3 linked regions of the Struthio camelus genome follow. The main gene of each other region encodes a partner of the protein of the gene in region 2 in a complex. Links are inferred from orthologs where the notes say so. Each region holds a gene or a part of one and is shown on either strand. Other genes may lie near its edges.

Region 1 (7,599 bases), on a different chromosome or scaffold from region 2:
TGGACTGTGTTTCCCCTTAATTACATGAGGACTATTTGCTGCACCATAAAAATTCTGAATTACCTTACAAGATATTTATAACATGCTTTGTCCTCTCTAAAATTCTAGCAGTAACAAGAACACTCATCCCTTTTGAAAAGATCAGAGGTTGAATTCAGACATACTAGTAGTATTAAGAATTTATACACCCTTCAACCTTACATAAAGATTCAGCATTCTCAGAAATAAGTGATCATTTCTTTTTACGCTCTCGTTTCCCTGATCAATATCTGCAATGATGAACTTACCCTACTGGTGCATAAACTGTATCTAGTTCTCATGGGACCACAGACTCCCAAACACTACTGAAACATTCAATCTCATGTTGTGGCATAGCGTAGGCATACCTGTGTTGGGACACAGGTAAAGCAAGTTTTGTAGGTAGAAGAAACATTAGCTCCTCCAGTTGGAAAAGGCAGACAGGTTTATGGGCACATCTCCTCCTCCTCACTTCATAGTTGGAAATCGAGGTATCAAGAAATGAAGTGAACTGCCTAAAGTCACCTAGTGGGCTAATGGTAGAATAGGAGCAGAATACACTTCCTTAGTCCCAGTCCAATGCTCCTTTCACCAGATTATAGTATCTATCACCCCTTCTTCACCATTCACTTTACGAGGACAACATCAAAACAAGACTTCAGGATAAGATCACTTTTAGCCCCTTACTCCATTTCACAGTTTGCTGAAAAATTATTTTACCTTTATTCCAGGAGTCAGAGGGAGAAAAGTCAAATTTTGGAGTGGGTGGAAGCTATAAAAAGAAATAGAGACAAAATATCAGCATTTGGGAGTTTCAGTTATAACACAATCCACATCACCTTGGAGAAGCCTCTTGAACTCAGATCTCAAAGACATTTAGGTGCCCAGTCGTCCTAAGTCTCAAAAGGGATCAGACATGTGGCTTAAAGTCTCGAAGTAACCTTTCCCACAGCATAAAGCAGGGGCAGAAGGCAGTATTCATCCTTTGGGTGCTCTTGAAAACACATCCACTCAATTACTTAAGTAGCTGTCTCCTTACAGTTACATTATAATCTCCAACATGGAAAATGATTTTCAAACCTTCAAAGGCTTCTCCTAGTCTGAGAGATTTAAAAAACTAAGGACTGCTCAAAGACAATGGACTACTCAGGTAATTTGCATCCAACTTGACTGTTAGGAGCTTGACAAAAACAGTTCTTTAAGGAAGAGAATCTTTTCATTAATTTTTGAAAAGCACATAGGATACTCCAATAAAAAGCTTAGGAATACCACTACATAGTGAAATATCCCTGCATAGGCTTTCTATCTCTTCTTTCAAATAAGATCTATGACCAATTGCTCTCCTCTAGGTTTAAAATTGTATCCTTCTTCCATTTCAATCCTCCTCAAAACATTCTCAGCGTGAAATCCAGATTCAACGGCAAAACTTTCGTCAACGTCATTGGAACCAGAATACCTTCCCAGTGCTTTCATTCAGAGAATGTGTATGGTTTGCTAACTACATTCACCTGCACAGTCCTTACCTCCCAGCCTATGTAATTTGTCCATTCTTGGATAGCTGGAGGAAGTGCTTCTTGAGCTTTTTTGAGGGCTTCAGCACCTTGTGTGCCACTGCCCAGCAGCCCCTGATCATATGCCACGTATACAGCTGCTCCAGCCAGGCTTCCTTTGATGACAAACCTGAAAGAATTAAAAGCACGTGAACAGGTCAGTTCACATTATATATATCAGTGCACCTTTCCCAGCAGGTTGTGACACGCAAAGGAACAGGGTTGAAAGAGCAGTTAGAAGGTCACAAATGTTTTACTGTGATGTCTTATTAGTGTCAAAAAACAGCAGAAAGATAGCTAGCTGTCCTCCCCTTTTTCCTAGATCAAATATTCCCAGTCAGCCCCTTGAAACTGTACCCCAGTTCACATATCATCAGTGACACTTGTGAAGAAAAAAAGGTGAAATTGTCAAAACTCTCTAAATATGTGCCACTTTGGAAAGTCTGAGAATTATGACATAAACTCTTGAAAAAAGGGACTAACAGATTTAGCTGTGGGTAAGAAATCCATGTTTATGATGGTTCTTGTTGCCTGGCTAATAACTACACAGATTACCTTGACAGACACCAATCTTTTGTTAAGCTCATTACAGTCCAGTTAGCATCTGACCATGCCTGTTCCTGCATTGCTTGTGCCTGTAAAGCTTCCCAGTGCAGCACATGGTGTGAAAACACTAGTGGCAACTCGCAAAGTGGAAGAAAATATTTGATCCTTAATTATTTTTTCACTATAAATAAGAGACCTGAGAGACAACATCTTTCCAAAAATTCACAGGGCAGAGAGCATTTCCCCCTCTGAAAAAACAGCAATTGCACACCTGGCAAAAAGAGAACTTGCCAGAGAGCAGTACCACGACAGCAGAGCACTTAATAGCTACAGCCACTAAGAGAGGAAGGAGCGAATCGATAGTTAAACCCGGCTATTCACAAGCATTTGGGGGATTTCTTTGATTAAGATGTATTGCTCGCTCCCAACACACCCTTCCACAACTTCTCCCTTCCAGCGGGCGGCACATCCAGGCCCGAAAGGGCTCCCTCGGCAACCAAGTACCCCCGGGGCCTTCCCAGGGTTTACTTTATGCGTCTACGCCCGCAGCGGGAAGGTCTCCAGGCTCCCGCCAGGCGTCTGGGGAGGCGCCAGGCAGCGGCCGGGCCGAGGGCGAGGCCGGCGCGGGCAGGATCAAGGGCAACGAGCTGCGCGGCGCGGGCAGGGCCGCGGCGGGCCCGCGGCAGTCGGGCGGCCGGGCCGGGCCGGGCCGGCGCGGACCGGACCGAGAAGCGGTAAAGGGCGGGCGGGGGCGGGCGGCAGCCGCGCGCGGGACTCACTTGACGACGGGAAGCAGCCTGGCGGCCATCGCTCCGCCAAGGGCAGCGCACGCTGGCCGCTGCGCGCCGCGGAGGCCGTCGGGAGCTGGTCACGTGGCCAGGCGGCCCCGGCCGCCCCGGCCATCATTACCGAGGCGAGAAGCGTTCGCCCTCCGCCTCTCTCTGCAGTGGGGGGCGCACCTCCCGCGCAGAAGAAGAACGGTTGAAAAGGAGAAGGACTCGTAGGAGGACTCGGTTGGGCTTCCTTTCGCCCGTCCTGTCTCCTCAGACCAGCAGGGAAGGCACTTCCGCCTCGGTAGCTGTCATGGCGGCAGGGGCGGCGCCGCGGAGTGAAGGCGGGTCCCGGCGCTCGGGGGAGGCTGCGGTAATTAAATCAAAACAGGGGGTGCGCAGGACCGATTGCATTGCTTGCTTTCATCTTTAATCATTTACCTGAAACAGCTGCAGAATTTCCACGGCGCGTCTGGGGGGTGCAGAATCGAGTAAGGATGAAGCGTTGTGAAAAGCGCGGATACGGTTGTGTGTGGAGCGCTGCAGTTCTGAATGGGTGAATTGCGGGTTGATTCCCTCTTGCGCAAACAGCTGGGAACTAGGCAATGCTGGTGGGGAAGATCAGCCTGGACTAGAAGTGTACTAACTGCTTATTGATACACATATTTAAGCAGATGAAACGCTTGAATCTGTGCTGCATTTTTATCAGTCTGCACCAAGGCCTTCGTCCCAAAATGTGTCATTTTGTCAGGCCGCACAGGGTGAGGGGACTTTGTCCTGCGGCCTTGGCTCTGGCCTAGGTCTTAGTCCCCATCCAGCAGTCGCGTTTTAAAGTAGGCACCAGCTGCTTTACTTACTTTACTGGATGCGCGTGTGCCTGAAGGAGCACATGCTGGTCAGCAGCGGGATCGGAGCCTCGGCTCTGTGCTCGCCAGGGTGGTGTGTGTACAAACTGCCTTTTCCTGTCCTCGCGGCGCTTTCCTGGGGTGCGGAGTTCCGTGTCATCGACCACAGGAGCAAGCTGTTAGTAAACATGTCATTAGGGTTGGGAGGATATCGGTTAGGCAGCCATGTCTCAAAATGAGGCTCTCGCTACAAAGCCCAAAGGCTCCGACTCTCCTGCTTCCCTGCGTGAATTTTAACCATTGCATTGCTCAACGTTTAAGGGGAGAGGGAACAAAGAGGAATACTGAGCACTAACTTTCTTTTTCCCTCACCAAGATAGTTTATCTGATTGCATTTTTCCTATCTTCTTTCCCTGTGTCTGCCAGAGTCTTTCGCACAAGAACAGAGGAGAGAGTAAGCTAGTTTTAAACACGTTTGCAGAGCTGTGGAAGTCGATGAAGTGAGTTTAGCAGAAGGGCAGCTTCTGGAACTGCTGAAAACTTAATTCCTCCTGTGTTCACTGTGTCTAACTGCTCTGGCTGCAAAAGAATTTTTAAAGACAGAAAAAGAACTCAGAAAATATAGAGAAATGATATTGGCTAATGATACTCACCTTGGTAAGTGAATGTTGTTAGTATTTAGTAAGTTCCAATGCTGACTTAAGTTTTGAATTTTCCTTTTGCAGGACAAATTCTAAAGAGAGAGAATTACAGAACTAAATCCTCCACCTTTTTCCCTGCTTCATGTTTCATTTTACATGCGGCTTGCATGCTGGGATCCGTAAGCATGGAAAAGAACATGTAAATGTTAGTGTGATTTTATTTCCATATTAAATTTTTGTGGACAGCTGCAGATGATCTATGGTGTTGGGGAAAAAGATGATTGTTTAGTTCATTTCAGATTTGATGTATTTTTATGTCAAATATGTCTGCAAGAATATGAAATAGAATGCAGCAGTGCAAATTGCAGAAGGCATTTACTGTAAAATTAGACTTTCAAATCGGGGTTTAAATGAGGAATCTGTGCTGACTCAACAAGTTTTTGTGGAGTGTTCCATTAGGGACAGACATTTTAAAAACAATTACCTCTGTCCAGTTCATTTGGGACAGACAGAAGGACAGACTAGATGCCCTGAAGCAAATGAATGGCTGTGAAAACAGTAGCTGAGAAAGGCAGGGAGATGGATGAGATGATTTCCGGAGGATCCTTCCAGACCTGTTTTCTGCCATCTCTGGCTCCCAGCAGACTTCATTGCCTCCAGCCCTGCAGCTTTACTGTTTTCATCCTGTTAAGGTTACTTGCTCTGGACAGGGAGTTCCACTGCCTTTGGTTCCACCTTTGTTAGATGAATGCAAACCATTTTCAGGACTGTGGTGCCCCCTTTCTTCAACAGGGAAAAGCAATTGCTTTGCAGCCTCTCGTCAAAGGATTGAGAGTCCATGTCCTTCCCCCTCTTCCATTCTTGCCGAAGATGACTTTGGCTCTTAGCGGAGAGACTTCTCAGGTAGAATCTCGTGACTCTTCCTGGTTCTACCCAGCACCTCACATATATGCAGGACAGAAAGACTTTATATACCTCACACAGGTTGGCTCGTAGCATCAGAGGAAGGAGATTACAGCGTTTTGGCTGGGGCGCTCAGCTTCAAGACCCCACATATTCAGTCTCCTTATCAGGATGAGCTTGTCTCTGACTCGCTTGAGAGTACCATCAGCAGGTAGATGGGTGCAGCTCTATGGAAACAGGTTCAAATAGTGGGCTAAACAGTATCCCAACCTGCTGCTTTCACAAACCCATCAGCATGGTTCTGGGAGAAGGGGAACCAGGGTCTTCACAGGCTTTGCTCCAAGCCTGCCTTCTAAGGCTGGTCCCCTGGGTGAGGATGTTTTGGGGATATAAGTGGAACACCCAGCACAATAGCATGAAGGCTGCTGTGGCTTACGGAGCAGTTATGAAGTGTTCTGTAGGAAGGATAAACTTGATTTAAACCTCATATTTTCCTCCAGATGCTGTCTCTGAACAGGAAGGTGTGTGAATATGTGAGAATTAACATGTATGTGCATGTGTGGGCATGCAACAATAAAAGGACCTTGCCTTGTTTTGGTCTCTGCAGCAAAGACTGGTGAATAATATTTTTGTTGATTTTATATCATAGTTGTTTTCAATAGCTAAAATTTGCTTGGAGAGCCCCTTTAGTTAAAGTGTTTTGTAACTCTTCACCAAAATGGGACAGAATTGTTCTTTCCTTGGCTGGAGAAACTGTTGGGATTTTATGTGTCTAGGGACTTTTTGAGCAGAGGACTGAAGAAAGTATGAGAGAGTCTCCTCACGGAGGAAACTGCTGTGGTTGCTACTAGCACCTGAACCTGAGCAGGGATAGGGGCCAGTTCTACTGGGAGCTGAATACAGGCTCAGCTAACACAAAGCAGCTACGTAGGAGCTTGCAGGGGAATCAAACTGGAAGGGGAAAAGCATGGAGAACACAGACAGAATGAGATATGTGTTGCAATCCAAGGGAGTTCATCAGAGTGGAAGAGATGCTTTCATTTTTGAGTTCTTTGCTCATGGCCAGCATGCAGCACAGGTCAGCAAACACACAAGCCTGTGCACAGATGCAGCATACGCTCCACTAGAGCCAGGCACGTACAGTAATACCCACCAGACACGATTGTGTTCTCACATGCCAGTTGCAAATGTGCAATGCAGAGGCGCATGCTGATTCCATCAGTCTTTATTGCAGCACAACAACCACTCTTCCTGCATGTCCAAAGGCATTCACCACATGTAAGACTGGTGGCTATACTACCTGTATATATCATCCCACATGCACAGATATTCAATGCATACAACACAATCCCACCCCCAAAATAGATATCTTCACCACACATACATACACAAGCAGAGCTCAACATTATGGGACAACTGCATGGGAATTTGGGTACAATCTCCCATGGTTCCCCTCAGTGACAACCATGGCCTCTTAACTGCCTTCACGATTGTCATGGAAACAGGAGATGATGGCAATGGCTCTGTTGAGATGGCCATTGCTGGAGGCTCTGGTAACAGAGGTCCACGGTCTAGGGGTAAATGTTGCTAGGAACAGCATGGTTGGGGGAGTTCAAAAGGAGCTTTCCACAGAAATGTACAGATGTGGAGCCATTGCTTAGGTGCACTAGCCATCAGCCCAAGACCTAGAGTCATAGCCAGGAGTGGGGGGGCTAAAATGAGTATTCACCTGTACAGACAAGGATGCAGGGGCTTAGTGTCTATTAAATTTGTCTGCTGTAAATGACAGCACAAGACCTTTTGGCCTTTAATTCAGGCTGTGGCATACATGTCAACAGGGACTTGAAAGAAAAGACTTAAAGAAAAGGGACTTGAAAGAAAAGGGATAAATCAGTCACAAAAGGTTTCTGTGCAGAACCTGTTTTCCCTTGCTATCCCCTGCTTAGTGAAGCTAAGGGTGGAGACCGCATTTCCAGCAGGGACTGTAATGTTTTTGCTCCTTAGTGCAAGGAACCTTCCCTTTCCAAAGCCATACAAAGGAAGCATAAAGGGCCCCATTAATCTTGCACACATTCCACCCATGAGGAATTTCTTTCCCTGTAATATTTTGCAGCCCCCCCCCCCCTTCTTCCTACCTCTGGCCCCTCATAAATAGCCCATTTTCTCTGGGATGGTGCTGGGGTGGGGAGGAGGGAAAAGAGAAGTTGCTGAGCCTGTGTGAAAGGTGAACCAGCTGTAGCAGCTGAGCTGGGGCTGGGTGCAGAGGTACAAGCTGAGCCTTGGCAGCTGTGCAATGAAAGGGGAAATTGTACTGCTGCTGTGGGAC
Region 2 (6,993 bases):
GCACAACCCTCCTATTCGCATAAGGCCGCAACCAGTTTTGCGACCTGAACTTTATTTCCCGCTCCCTTACTTGGGTCCCAATCCAGGAAAAGGAAGGTAAAGCTAACTCAAACTTTCCTAGAAGTTCAGTCCAAGGGGCTTTTCACAGCACTGTAAGATTGACCCCTTCTTTTGCACCACGGTCAGTGTCTCTGTGCTGCCAAAAAACTGTAAAACAAAATGAAATGAGATCGAGTTTCCTTACCTACGCCAGCCACAGTCTGACAGCACTGAGCACAAAGTGGATGTCGATGCTGCCATATCTAACAGCATTGCTAACGTCTTCACTTACCATGCCAACTTCTTGGGTCTTCTGCCCTCCCCCCTTACACTTTCGCTATATTCAAAACACACATATACATGCGTAGTACCTCTGTCAGAGGATCTGAACAAAGATAGCCCCAGACATACAATACCCACTACAAGAGAAACCATGCGGCAGTAAGGATGTCTTATCAATGACAAGGACAAAATTCACAGCTTTAGAGAAGCGCCCTTACTTCCTCTGGGGCTGACAGGCAGGTGGGGATGAACTCCAAGTGCCAACTGTCATATTTGAAGCCTGGGGGCAGTGCTTATTTATTTTAAGAGTTTAAGAGTTTAATCTAACTTTTTAAGGAAAAATCATTCTTATCAAATAATACATAACACTGCTGCTCAACTTAAACCTCAAAGGTAGTGGATATCTCAAAAATAATTCAGTTCTTTACAAACTTTATGAAAATCAGCAGCGAGCTGAAGAAAGAGTTCCATATTAACACCCCATACAAGCAACCACAGACAGGACTTAGCCTGTGGCCGTTCTGCAGTTAGCCAACACGCACATACAGGCTAACACACAGCGCTACGCGTCAGTCTGAGAACATGCTCCCTCTCACCCGGAGAGAGATGTCCAAAAGGAATATGGGAAAAAAGCATCTATGGAAACTGGCTTTTAAAACCAAAAAGCTGTAAGAAGCCAGTCTTTGTTAACTGCAGATTCAGTGGAACTACTTTTTATATACAGCCACAAAAAGCAAATAATCTCTTTGGTACTCTAAAAACAAAGAATGACTATTCTATTTCACAAAACAAAACCAAAAAAAAGAATAAAACATTTCTACTTCAGGAAGTCAGAGATCTAAGATGACGACAGCTCATTTAATCTAATCAGGTATCATGTGATACATAGTGCTCTCTTCATTTTGAGCTCCTAGAGGTCATATACAACCTATAGCAGCAAACCCACATTTTTCTCTAGTTCCATCACTATGCAACTGACAGAGAAGCTAACTAAATTAAAACAATTTGTTTTACTGCTTATATGACAGGTGGAGTTAAGCCCTGAAAGGGCCTCACCTGTACACTGCAAAGAGAAATGAGGCAAGAACGACTTTACCTGAAAGCACCTGTAAAGGGAGACTTAGCACAATTCTAGTTAACGTCTGTCAAGTGACTGATTGTGGGGGAAAAATAAGTAACCACAGCAAAACTCACTCTGCAAACTCATTTCAGAGGAATTTTAGGAAGGGGAATAAGAAGTAGATAGAAGTATAAAGAAGCAACAACACTGAGAATCATGGTAGAAATAAAGTAGAAATAGCTAAAGAGAAACAGGGAGAAAAAAAAACAGAGGGGAAAAAAAGGCACCAAAAAGAATAATACCATCACCTCTTTCTAGAGCTGGTTTTCATGACACACATAGGTAGATGTTCAAATCAAAGTTCAAGAAGCAGCTTCCCCACTGGCCCTTCTAGAAGCACCCCTACTCCTCACCAATCCCCACAACCTCTTATCACCCTGCGTGCTTCATTAAGGGTCTAGGTAATATTATTCAAGGGCAGGCAGCTCTCCTCTTGGATGCTTTCAGAGCCAGCCAGTGCTTCCACCTTTTAGCATCAAATTGCTTGCAAAGCAGAAGGTGGCAGTGAAGGGCACATTAAGCAGTAAGGAGAAGGGGAAAGAGACGAGAGCAAAATTTGGAAGAGGATAAAGGATTAGCATCTCATCTCTCAGGAAAGGCCAAACTCCAGCAGTCAGCCCTCTTCACTGCCACTACCCACTCCCTTCAGCGCTGCCTTCCACTTCTCCTCCCTCTTCCTTGCTGGTTTTCCCCACTCACTCCTTCCTGCAGCACATACTGCATCCCTAGACCTCCCCGCCCTGCTCTGCCTCAGTTCAACCAGTGCTGCCCCCAACAGCACCTCCCTCAGGCCAGCTCCCTGCCCCATGCAGCCCCCAACCAAGCCTCCCCCCAGGCCTCTGGCACCTCTCTCCCCTGCACCTGCTTCCCCCCAGTCTGTCTCCCTCCGGCCTCTGATACCCTCTGCCTCCCAGCCCTCCAACACCCCTCTCCCCTCCCAGCCCCTCTCCTCCAGCCTCTTGGCTCCCCTCTCCCCCCCCCCGCCCCTTTCCCCTAGGCCTCTGACTCCTCTCTCCCCTCCCAGCCTCCCTCCCCCAGGCCCCTCTGCCCCCCGGCCCCTCTCCCCTTCGACCTCCTCCTCCTCCACCCCCTCTCCCCTCCCAGCCCCTCTCCCCGAGGCCCCTCTACCCCCCAAACCCTCTCTCCCCTCCCAGCCCCTTTCCCCTAGGCCTCTGACATCCCTCTCCCCTCCTAGCCCCTCTCCCCGAGGCCCCTCTGTCCCCCAGACCCCCTGTCCCCTCCCAACCCCTCTCCCCCAGTCCCTCTGCCCCCCAGCGCCCCTCTCCCCTCCCAACCCCTCTGCCCCCCCAGGCTCCACAGTACTCCCAGGCCGTCTCACCCTGATGCCTTGCAGCACCCGGACTTGCTCCCGCTCATCCAGCCCGAAGGAGACCTTCCTGCTGCCGTGGCTGCTCTCGCTGCCCCCCATGCCAACGGGGAGGAGATGGGGGGGGGGGGAGTCTCCCCCCCTCTCACACCGGGACAGCCGCTGCGAGCAACACCGCTCCCCGCCCCCCTTTCCGCCGCCTGCCAACATACCCGCCCCTCATTGGTGGCTGCCTCCGGGGGCGGCCAATAGCGCGGCGCGTTGCTGGCGGCCAGCGCGGTGCAGGCTGGGGGTTGTAGTCTCGTGCGGCGGCCGCCGCCCGGGTTGGGGGCCCCGGGGGGCTCTGCCGGCGCCGTCCTTCCGCGGCGAGCCCAGGAGATGCAGCAGACAGCCGCGTTCCCAAACCTGGCCCTCCGTCGCTTGTGCCAGGCAAACCTCCCTCCCCTAAAAACTCAAACTGCTTCAGGAGGAGTTAAAAATAACAATCCTAGCACATCAGTTTGGAAAAAGCTACCCTCAGCAGTAAACAATCTGCACCAAAGCACGTTCAGGTTCAATTTCTGCCCCTCGGCTCTCCTGCAGCTTCCCCTCGGGAGTGGAGGTGCCGATCTTGCCCACTTTTTTATCATACTACCCCTTACACTTTCACTTTGATACGCCAATATAACGGGTTTCTTTACTGGGCAAAAATTAGCAGAGGAAAACAGCAAAGAAGCCCAAATTAGCACACAGTAAATGAATAAAAGTGGAAAGCATAGAGCTTATACTTTAAGATATTCCTTTAGATTCAGGAAATTGGACGAGACAGACGAGCACCCACTGCACGCGACCAAGATGCTGCCGGCTGTGGAAGATCCCCAGGGCGACAAGCCCTTACGGGGGTCCAGGCAATTTCCCCCCTCACCGTCTAGGCCCCGTGCCCCATGAGAGCCCACCTCCGGCGCCGAGCACAGGCATCCCCCTCCACCCCACCGGCGCACCCCGTGTCCCTCTCTATCCACCTTTTCTCCATAATTGTTGAGGGAATGCGTCATCACCCCAGCGCAGCTCACGTTTCTCTGATGATGAAAAACAAACATAGGCTACAGTCAATAAGAATTACAGTCAATTTTATGGCAGCTGCTTTGCAGGCAAAATTAATCATCTCCTTTAAGCCAGCAAAGACTTAACAGTTGTAACGTTCCTTGCTATGACAGGCACGTTCCCAGGTGCCATGTAGATGAGAGCATCGCACTGTGCTCCAGGTCATATAAACCCTCAGCAGGATACAGACCCTGCCTCCAAGCGCTTAGAAGCTGCAGGCTAAATGAAGGGAAAGAGAAAGAAGATAATGTAAAACACAAGCAGCCGGAGCAAGAGATAGTAGCTTTTGGAGGAGCTTTTCCTAGCAGTACAGGCTACATCATGCCCTATACAACTCTGTGCATTTGTAGCTAGACACTTACTGAAGCCTTGCTATCGACACACTGCTTTCCTACTTACTAGTTGTGTGTTAGAACAGCTTTCACTGTGCTTAATGCTTACCCTTCACTATAATTAACATGGAAACCACCGGTTTGGCTCAGCAATGGGACTCCGGCCAGGTCTAAGGAAGGATCCCCACTCCCTCCCCAAGAAATCCAGGCCTGCAGCATATTACTGAAAGGGAAGAATATTTTTCTGTTACTTGGGTTAACACCTAGCACATTGCAGACTTTGCTTATTGCTTGACCTCTCAAGACTAGAGCACTACAAAACGGTACTATCAGCTATTTGCACTGCAGCATAGAAATGCTGCGCAGGGTCAGAGAGCAGGTCTGGCTAAGCCAAAACTCTGCTTTTGAAAGGGACAACAGCTGATATCTAGGAGAAAGCATGAGTGAGGCAAGAGCATAGCAATTCCTCCCAGAATATTCTCACAGCCTCTCATTTATTTTTAATCTGCCACCCACCAATTTCATTTGATGGCTCCCAGTTCTTGTACTGAAAGAGCCCCTGAACAGTCATTGCCTGTTCACCTCCTCTGTCCTCTCAGGATTTCAGAGACCTTTACTCTTGCTCTTCCAAGCTGATGAGTTCTCAATCGTGTAATTGCTTCTCCTACAACCCGCAACTTTAATTATTCTGTCACCCTTCCTTAGGCCTTTTCCAGGAGTAATTCCAGGTACAACTCCAGCCAGGTGCCAGGCAACATCTGCAAGGATGCAAACATAGCAGGAGGGGGAGCGTGCAAAGAAACAAAAACACAATTCAGACCTACAGCTGTGCCTTTCTGTGATCTCCCAGAGCCTGAGAATACTGAGGTGGAAGCAATTGCGATGGTGGCAGAGCACCTGTACAGTAACTCAAACCCTTCCCTTATCCATGTGAAGAGGAGCAGATGATGCTGTCAAGTTAACTCCTGTGGTTAGCGTCCCTCGGGCAACCCCTACAGTTTTTTGCAGGTAGTCTGGCAGGAGCTTGGTAAGGTAAGGCTAGTAGGCTTTACTGCACAAAGACCTGACTTAACTCTCAGGCTAGAGACAAAGCTTACTCCATTTCCCCAGCCTGTATGCTCCACCAAAGAGCGGCTGACAGGTGCTGGCTACTGCCAGCTCTTAGCTGTTACATCAGGCTACTGTCCCCTGTACAGCCAGAAAAATTGGTCCAAATACTTAAGTGGAGTTCATTTCAAAGCCCAAAGGAAAAATAAAGCGTACAACAGTCAACTCATAGTTCCACACGAGCCCCTTTCCAAGCAAGAAAGACTGGCCTATAGCGGAGATCCCTGATGCCGGACATGCCAGGGAACAGCAAGATCTAGTTAACAGGAAGAGTCAGAGCTTCACTAATTATTTAGACCTGGAGACCACTCTCTGCACTGTCAGCTGCTGTCCTAGTAATAGACTTCCAAGAACCCAAAGTCTCCAGCTCTGTCATTCCATTAATATCCACCATATTTGTTCAGGGTTTTATCTTTTGCTTTTTAAAAGAAAAAATTCCAAAAATATTTTCCCCCTTAACATGCGTCACTTGAGAGAGAAAGTAGGACTATTTATGCCAAATTTAATTTTATTTCTTTATTTTACAAACAAAAAATATACATTTACTCTATATTTAGTCTCTTTGCATCTCCCTCCCCCCACAAACACATAACACACTTCTGCTCAAGGACCATTGTGAATATGGCCCAAGGCATTTATATACATAAAAATACAACAAGAGGAAGGTCAGTCCATGACCTAGTGCAGAAACTCCTCAGCAGCAGAATGTGGGACGCTCCAGAAACACTGGAGTCCTGCCAACAAAGGAGAGGATGGACATGTTGACCACCTACCAAGGCGATCCTTCAGCACTGAATTTAGCCGATAAAAAGACAAATTCATAACCTGCTCTTCACATCACCAAGGAGGGCAGGCAAGTCCTTTCAAATTCAAGGTGTTCAAGAGGCAGCAAATACTCCTTGGGATGGGAAAGCATTTGCTCCTTTATTCTTGAACTGCTTCAAGACTTCCACATCTCCTGGCCCTGTCCAAGGCCCACCAGCTCCAGGGAAGCTTTGCAGGTTTCCCCGTAGTGGCTAACAGCAGCTCACTACTGGTGTAGCTGAGCAGCATTAGGAGCAGCAGCAGGGCAATTCAGAGACCATGTCATCCATCCCTTTTACAGTAAGCAAGTAAGTGTGGCTCAGGCCGATTCACAGCAAATGATGGGAGGAGCATAGAACATTTTTCTGTGCGGCAAAAAGCTCACCTGGCCAGTTGCTTGTCCACCCTTTACACAGTCATTGCACGGAGGAGAAATGTGAAAGGCTGTTGAACCACATGGTATAACTCAGCTCAAACATATGGACAAACGGAAGCCTTTTTTCCTTAAAAGTAGATTTAAAAAAAAAAAAAATGTATTTAAAACTGAGGGGAGGTTTTTTGTTTTTAAGGTGTCAATGCTACTTGGAAGCCTGCAGGGCAAAGTCTACAGGCAGCAGAACAGAGAGGCTGCATTGCTCATTAACTAAGAAGATAAGCAAAGGGCCTGCATAGTTTTGGCAACCAATATGCACTTTGTGCTCTTATCCAAACTGTTTCTTTCCTTACAGTGGAAACACCTGGTAGCAAATGCTACTACCTAGTAGCAGTGTTTTGCATGATCCAAACTATCACTGCACTGTTCCCTCCATGAGGATTTCCTAAAAAACTCTTACCTCAATATTCTTCTTCAGGAACAGGAGAGTTGGGGAAGAGATGCACACAGTCCCCAAATGTTTCAT
Region 3 (7,048 bases), on a different chromosome or scaffold from region 2:
AGATCAGTTTGCTTAGGGCTTCAGTGAGATCTGAATAACTCGAAGAATGGACACTCTACAACATCTCTGGGCAACCTGTTCCAGTATTTGACCACCTTCAGGGTAAATTTCCCCCCCCCCAATATCTTATCAGAATTTCCAATTGTACGCTTAAAAAGAAATTAGAAGCATCAGGTGACTTTACATGCAAGCAGGTGTAAAAAACGTACCTTTTCATACGGTATACAATTAAACTGGTTCTAATTACAAAAAATATTTTGAATATCAAATTCTGAAGCAATAAAGCAAATTCATAGATGACTATCAGGGCTGATTTTTGTCTAGTTTTAATTTTTAGATGGCATATTTTATTTTGACTTTGTTCACAAGTTTAATGCATGCCCTATAGTCAGATACTCCTTCTACATCAAAGTATATGAAGCCACCAAACTGCCTTTGAACCAATTTCTATTTTTTTTGAGTGATTCAAGTGATTCTTTAAACTTGTCTACATTACTTTCAGTTTTGCAGACTTTTTCCCCAGACCGCTTTTGCATACATTTTGTTTTATACGCAGCACATTCTAGAAGTTGTACTACAATAACGTAAAGATGACATTCCTTCCTTGTTTCTGTCTGATGATCTTCCTCCTGTGTATTACATGAGCCCCTTTAATCTAGTATGACAAGAAAACTAATATTTGCACCTAGAAGTCATCATAAGTAAGTCCTGCTCTGAGTCTCTGCTTTTCAAGGAAGACTCTCAAACTCTCGGTAGCTTACATTCTGTGTTTCCACACGTGCATCTTGCAATTTGGCAGCATTCAAACATATTCCGTCCAGACTGTGACAATTTTAATTAGACAATTAAACGTAACTCTCTGCTAGTTATTTACTGTTTTACAGTAAATTGTAAAATTTGTGCTACTGCATCAAGTATGGTTTCAAAAGGTAATTTAAACGAAATACAGTTCACTGTCACCGAAAGGAGTAGTAGTACCACTCTACTTTGCTCCCTCCCTACCTCAGAGCTTGCTCAGCTAGTGTCTCATCTGTCCCTGCAGTGAGCTGGCTTAAGCAGTTAAATTAGCAGAAATCCGTATCTTTTTAAAAAAAAAATCCATCGCGAGAGACAAAAACAGAGCTGACAACTCAGGGGCAAAGCAGGAACGTTTGTTTTGGCTGCAGTCAGATATCTGATGAGTTAACTTATTAACTGAAACTGTATCCTCGTTCAGACCATCAACAAGAGCTTTGTTTCTCCACAGAATTTAATTTAAAATAGTTAACACTTTGTAAAGGGCTGACATTGCTCAGCAATATTTTATGGAAGCATTCACCAGTAATAGACACATATAATTTCAGGTATATACTGCATTACTTATCACTATTACTTTCTGTAAATAAAGGTTTACTAATTGCAATGTACTTGAGACACTGGTACCTCAGCAAACTGCAACATTAATGCTTGAGGACTGTTAGCAGCTTCTAGGCCAAATCCAACATTTTAATTTGGATATGCACTTATTTACAGGCCTCTAACAACAAGTATAGAAAAAAAGACATATAGGTGGAACAGCTGCAGTTCCTCCGCGCCTCAGCATACTGATGCTCTCTACATTTATTTTTAATCTTTGCCTGCCAGAGAGTAACCTATGCTGACTGAAAAATCAACAAGAACAAAAAAATTTTTCACAGTAAATAATAAACAATACACAGAAAATTATGTCATTCGACCAACAATACTGAATCATTCAAATTTATGTACTAAGCTACATTACCTGAAGACCATCTAAACATGCTATCAAGCCAATTACAGCTTCTTTTTTCACTTATGTGCGTCTTGTAAGAGGGTTCGTCTTCATTCCCTTGGCTACCTTTGTCTGCATGATCTTTTCCTCTGCAGGTATATACACATCTTAATTGCTTTGCAAAAGAAGACTCGTGTGCAAGCAACCTATTCCTTAGAAACAGATGAAAACCTGTTTGATTATCTGAGAGAAAGTCATCTCTGCAGGTACATTTTGCCCTGTTTACATACAGTATATTATGTACATTTACAGCTATTTTAGACATTTGTGACCCGGTTAGCTTGTAATGGCATGATTTTAACATCCTTGTTTTAGTGATGTATACCACTACCCTGCTTTATGACCCTACTACTAAACAAGTATCTGGATACTATTCCACCTCTCGAATGAGGGCTTTAAAGCATTTCAGAAGGCGGAGGAAACCAGAAAAGCAACGCTTTTTACTCCCTCTTCTACAATTTAACCACGCACAGGAACCAGCTCTTTCTACCACAAGTTCTACGTGGAGAGAAGCGGTACTGACACCTCCTACTTTCCTACTCTTCTCTCATCTAAGTGCTCAGTAACAGGCAGAAGGGATTTCCCCAACCAAAATAGTTATTGCAGCCGTCTAATCCCACCCATGCTGGAGCAAAGAAGCTGTGGAGACACCCCCAAGGCAGCACTGGGAGAGGCTGTGCAGAGGGAGCAGCACGCTGGGCATTAACATCACTGCAGCGTGACACGCGGCACGGCGGCCCCAGCAGCCTTCCCCGCGCCGGCCCGGCGAGTTTACAGTACGGCTCGGCGGCCGAGGCAGCCCCGCCGGCGGAGGAGCCGAGCCCGGCAGCTCCTTCCTCTTTCCCAGAAAGAGGCCTCAGCGGTTCGGGGAGGCGAGGAGCGCCCGGGCCCGCCGTCACAGGGAGCAGGCCGGGCAGCACCTGCGGCGAGGGCTCCCGAGCGGTGGAGAAGCCGCGCGGCGCGGCCTCAGGCGTCCCCCGAGCCCTGCGGCTCTCCGGGCGGCAGGAGGGAGGCCGGGCCGAGGGGCCCGCCGCAGCACTTCCCTCCCTCGACCCCGCGCTCCCTCCCCGCAGGGCGCCACGCTCACCTTGGTCGCCATTTTAGCGACAGCGCCGCCCGCGCGCGGCCGGGTACGGCGAGCGGGAAGGGCCGAGCGCCCGCGCTCGCCGTGCCGGGGCCGCGGGCCGGCTGCGGCTGCTGCCGGGGGCCGGCGGCGGGGCCCGGTGGTGCCGGCCCCGGAACCCTCAGGGCAGGCGCCGGGGCCGAAGGGGGCCCCGAGGGGAGGTGGCGCCCGGAAGCGGCGGTTTAACGGCGGGCTGGCGGCCGTGACAGGAGCGCGGAGGCCTCGGGGCAGCAGGTCGGGGAACGTGGACTTCACCGCCCCAGAACCCGCTGAAGCTGGTCGGCTCTTTTTCCCTTAGAGAAGGTTTACAGATGCCGTTGCCTTTTCCAGCCAATTAACATTTTGCAGCTTTCTTGCGACTGTTAGGCCCAGGAGGGAGCACTGCCTCCAACACTTGTGTCCCCGTTCTCCTCTGAAAAACAAAGCAAAAGGCTTCTGTACGCACTAAACAGCAGCGTTAGTTACAATGCAGGTAACTGTCCTATTAATAAGCCCACGTCAGTCCAAAGAAGCATGACCTAAATTCTGCGTTAACCATAGTCACGTGAAGACATGGCGTGGGATTTCTCAGGAGCCACTTGGGAACCTTTACTGGACTTTATAAACACTACAAGATGCTTAAATTCCTTCAAGCAGCAAATTCTCCTTTTACCTCAACATTCAAGGTATTTTAACAGGAATAAAATTAACATCCAAAGACTAAGACTAAGCATATACAGTTATTGCTGAACAATCTATAACAGCAGCTCTGCTCTGATACCTTTCAAATCACTGCTCAGTTCATCTTTGTCTAATTGTGCATTTACTAAGTGCATGCCATTTAAAAGTACAGTTTGTAGGGTGCTAGGTAGTATGAGCTCCGAATGCTGCCTTTAGAGACACTCAGAGATTCTTGTAGCAGTCTTTGATGCAACAAGTTTTACATCTCTGTGATAACTGTATGTTTTCTTCTTACTTACAGAAGATGTTCTCCCCATAACATCAGTGCCAGAATTGGAGATTGTATTTTAGTCAGAAAAGTACAAATCCTAAATATCCATATTTTAAAACACGAAAGGGAAAGAAACACTCATGTAAACTATTTGATTTGACCAAGAAAATGGCTAGAAAAATTATCTGAAGGGTTATTCATGTTAACCAGCCAAAGTTTCAGTTGTTACAACAGAACAGAAGATAGAGTCAATACAATTCAGAGCACCAGTTGCATCAAATGGTTATAGCTTCATGGGCACCCAATTCAAATCCAAGACTGAAGCTTGAATTTGATTAATCTTCTTAATTATAGTTATTAGAGAACGCAAAGAAAAAAAAAAGACAAAAGCACAAAAGTTAAGTGCAGATAATTCAGTTTATTGAAGTCCAGATTTACAACTGAAGTTTACAACTTTTTCCCCAAAACAAAAGCTTTGTTTGAATCTAGGAAGAATAAATGTTTTTTTTAAATAATGTACAGACTATATCTCTTAAATAAGTTAATATCTTTGAAAAAAGAGCAATATGTTCCTTTTTTAATGTTGCAGTGCAACTTACAACTTACACGTCTGTGCAATGTACCATGAGGTATATGCCCAGTGAGCAACACACAGTGAAGTTTTCCATTCATAGATTTTCATTGTAGACGCACAAAAATTTAACAAGTTAATCTGTGATAGAAAAAATGCAGCCAGTTACTGTAATTCACACAGAACTCATCTGAAGAGGAAAAAAGAAACCTAACATTCATTGCCTATATAAACTATTGGATCATCTCTCAACATAGACAAGTATAAAATTAAAAATACTGTTGTGAAACTGAAGAAATACTGTATTATCCAGGGGTTGAAACCTAGTTTTACCTGTATTAGTCTACAGCAGTTAATTTTCTGTCTCTGTAGCATCAATGAGCTGAGGGACTTTACTACAGTATGGGTGTAGTACCTGCTCATGAAAGGGCTTAAAGCATCATGGTAATTATATAAAAATTTCAGAATATTCATGAACTATGATATAACTCAGACATTTTCCCCGGCATAGACAGATAGTTTACTATTACCTCTCAGTTCATCTCCCTGCTGATTAGATAAACAAAGCTGAAACATGGAAGATTTACTAACAATATTTGAAGACTTGAGGCTTCAAACTTCTTTTCAAGATGGCTCTTACTAAAATACTGATTTTTCTTAATGACAGAAAACATATATTTATTTTAGAAAGAATCAACCACAACATAACTTTGTGATAAATAACAGTTCTGCCTCTAACACATATATACATACTGCTTGTAAACAAAAAATGCCCACGAGTCATGGAGTCTCCATGATTTTTATACAAGGCGCTATAGAATTTTTTGTTATTGAAAACAGTCCTAGTGAAAGTTTGGTTTATCACCTCCTATTGCTACAGAAATAGTAAGAATGTTTCTATTTACAAAGAAAAAAGACCATGGAGACCCCATAGCATTATTTGCTAAAGACTTTAAGTTAGTGGGGTTTTCAAAATACACATTGTGAGCACGTTCAGATTGAATTAACAGTACAGGTTGAATACCAGCAGTATGACATTCTAGTGCTTTGGTATTTCAACCCCTGAATATACAAAGACATTACTACAGCCTACTTCACAGTTTAATGCAAGTAAAGTGCAAGCCATAGTACAAGGGTGTCAAACATTTTCATACATGTAAGCAGTATCTAAAAAAGGCTCTCTATACAAGTTTTATTAGCTACTTTAGTAAACTAGACAGAAGTCACCTATGGCCCAGCAATTAATGGTCTTTTACAAGGATATTTTCTTTGTAATACAGTATGTGTCAAATGTAAAAAGTTCATTAATACTAGTGCACTTCTCTTGTAACCTAACCTGCTTTTTAGATTCTTAGAGTTGAAATCCTTGTTTCTCAGTAAAACAGAAGTCTTAAGTGGTAACAGGGTCTCACTGTTATTTTGGCCAGTGAACAAGATTTGTTGATTAAGACATACTTGTTTTGTGGTTGCTAGTGAAAAAATGTAATAGAGCTAGTATGTATAATGTGGTAACCTTATTTAATCTGCAGCATTCGGACAGATGCATTTACAGTTAGTAAAAAGGTCTGTATTGATCCCCTCACCAATGCCTGAGAATGAGTAATATTCTAGAAACGTGAGGACAGAAGCTAGTGGGCATTTCTGGTCAAACGATATAGTTGTCCATGTATTTTATCATTTGTACAACATAGCTTTCTTTCAAAAACTGCTCAGACAGTAGTATTAATGCATACAGCAAAGTCCCTAATTGTCACATCTACTGCTTGTATGTATCTGAATAAAAGTAAACAAGTTATAAATGTCTCCTCAAGACTGGCCGGCATTAAGCACAAATACAATTTTTTTTTCCGGAAGATAATGACAGGCAGTATCTTTTTAAAAGTTTTTAATACTTTTATTAAGTTTTATTAGGTCACAGTCGTATATCAGCTATCTTAAAAAGTGATAAAAATATTAGTATTTATTTTAATCCTTCTTCTAAATATGGAAGTATGGTATCAACTGTAACATGCAGAAAGTAAGTCTCCATTAAAAAATGCTTCCTCATCTGTTAGTTATGTCAAGAATAGAGAATCGGTTGCCTGTACGTTAGTGAATGGAACTGATCAGAATTAAAGTACTATGTTTATATATTATGGGAGTTAAGGAAATAGTTTTTCAAATATCAACTGAGAAAATACGACTTGATCTTAAGTAACAATGTATTTTCCGTTCATCACCTGATAGTATGGCTCAGGTTTGATTTTTAGATGCCTATCAAGTAAGCACCTGTTGAGAGCCTCAGTCACACAGTATAAATTCATCTGGGATAAAAGCAGAGGGGGAACCTAGGTGCCTGAAAAAGCTACTCTGAACCTTAGGTTTAATGAGGAAAATATTCTAGAAGGAAAAGAACTTTATGTTACTTAATATTTAGCTAATATTGCTCCTTAAATCTTTCCTGTTATTACCCATTTTTTGTACTATGGGTAAATAAACATTATTTGGCAATATGGAACAGAGCTTATCTCTAAGGAGATTATAAGCTCAGTGGTCTAAGGCATGTGGTATGTGGAAAGTCTGCTACAAACCTGCACTTCAAAGACAAAGACGTCACTATGACCTGTGCCATTCTTGCCTATAAATGCCCAATTT

The links. The genes of interacting proteins can lie anywhere in the genome.
Region 1: CHCHD6 (region 2) and MICOS13 share a complex: the UniProt entries of both Homo sapiens proteins name them as parts of the mitochondrial contact site and cristae organizing system (MICOS) complex. The link is inferred for Struthio camelus from reciprocal best matches to the Homo sapiens genes CHCHD6 and MICOS13.
Region 3: CHCHD6 (region 2) and APOOL share a complex: the UniProt entries of both Homo sapiens proteins name them as parts of the mitochondrial contact site and cristae organizing system (MICOS) complex. The link is inferred for Struthio camelus from reciprocal best matches to the Homo sapiens genes CHCHD6 and APOOL.

Annotation. Positions count from the first base shown.
Region 1 is NC_090967.1:7,958,786-7,966,384, reverse strand, and holds the start of MICOS13 (MICOS complex subunit MIC13), read right to left. Parts: upstream 3,022-7,599; 5' UTR 2,923-3,021; coding exon 2,894-2,922; intron 1,699-2,893; coding exon 1,542-1,698; intron 791-1,541; coding exon 739-790; intron 1-738. UniProt on the Homo sapiens protein: Component of the MICOS complex, a large protein complex of the mitochondrial inner membrane that plays crucial roles in the maintenance of crista junctions, inner membrane architecture, and formation of contact sites to the outer membrane.
Region 2 is NC_090955.1:7,730,266-7,737,258, reverse strand, and holds the start of CHCHD6 (MICOS complex subunit MIC25), read right to left. Parts: upstream 3,003-6,993; 5' UTR 2,979-3,002; coding exon 2,781-2,978; intron 1-2,780. UniProt on the Homo sapiens protein: Component of the MICOS complex, a large protein complex of the mitochondrial inner membrane that plays crucial roles in the maintenance of crista junctions, inner membrane architecture, and formation of contact sites to the outer membrane.
Region 3 is NC_090952.1:17,433,050-17,440,097, reverse strand, and holds the start of APOOL (MICOS complex subunit MIC27), read right to left. Parts: upstream 3,022-7,048; 5' UTR 2,889-3,021; coding exon 2,877-2,888; intron 2,835-2,876; exon of another isoform or gene 2,710-2,834; intron 1,942-2,709; exon of another isoform or gene 1,760-1,941; intron 1,139-1,759; exon of another isoform or gene 762-1,138; intron 1-761. UniProt on the Homo sapiens protein: Component of the MICOS complex, a large protein complex of the mitochondrial inner membrane that plays crucial roles in the maintenance of crista junctions, inner membrane architecture, and formation of contact sites to the outer membrane.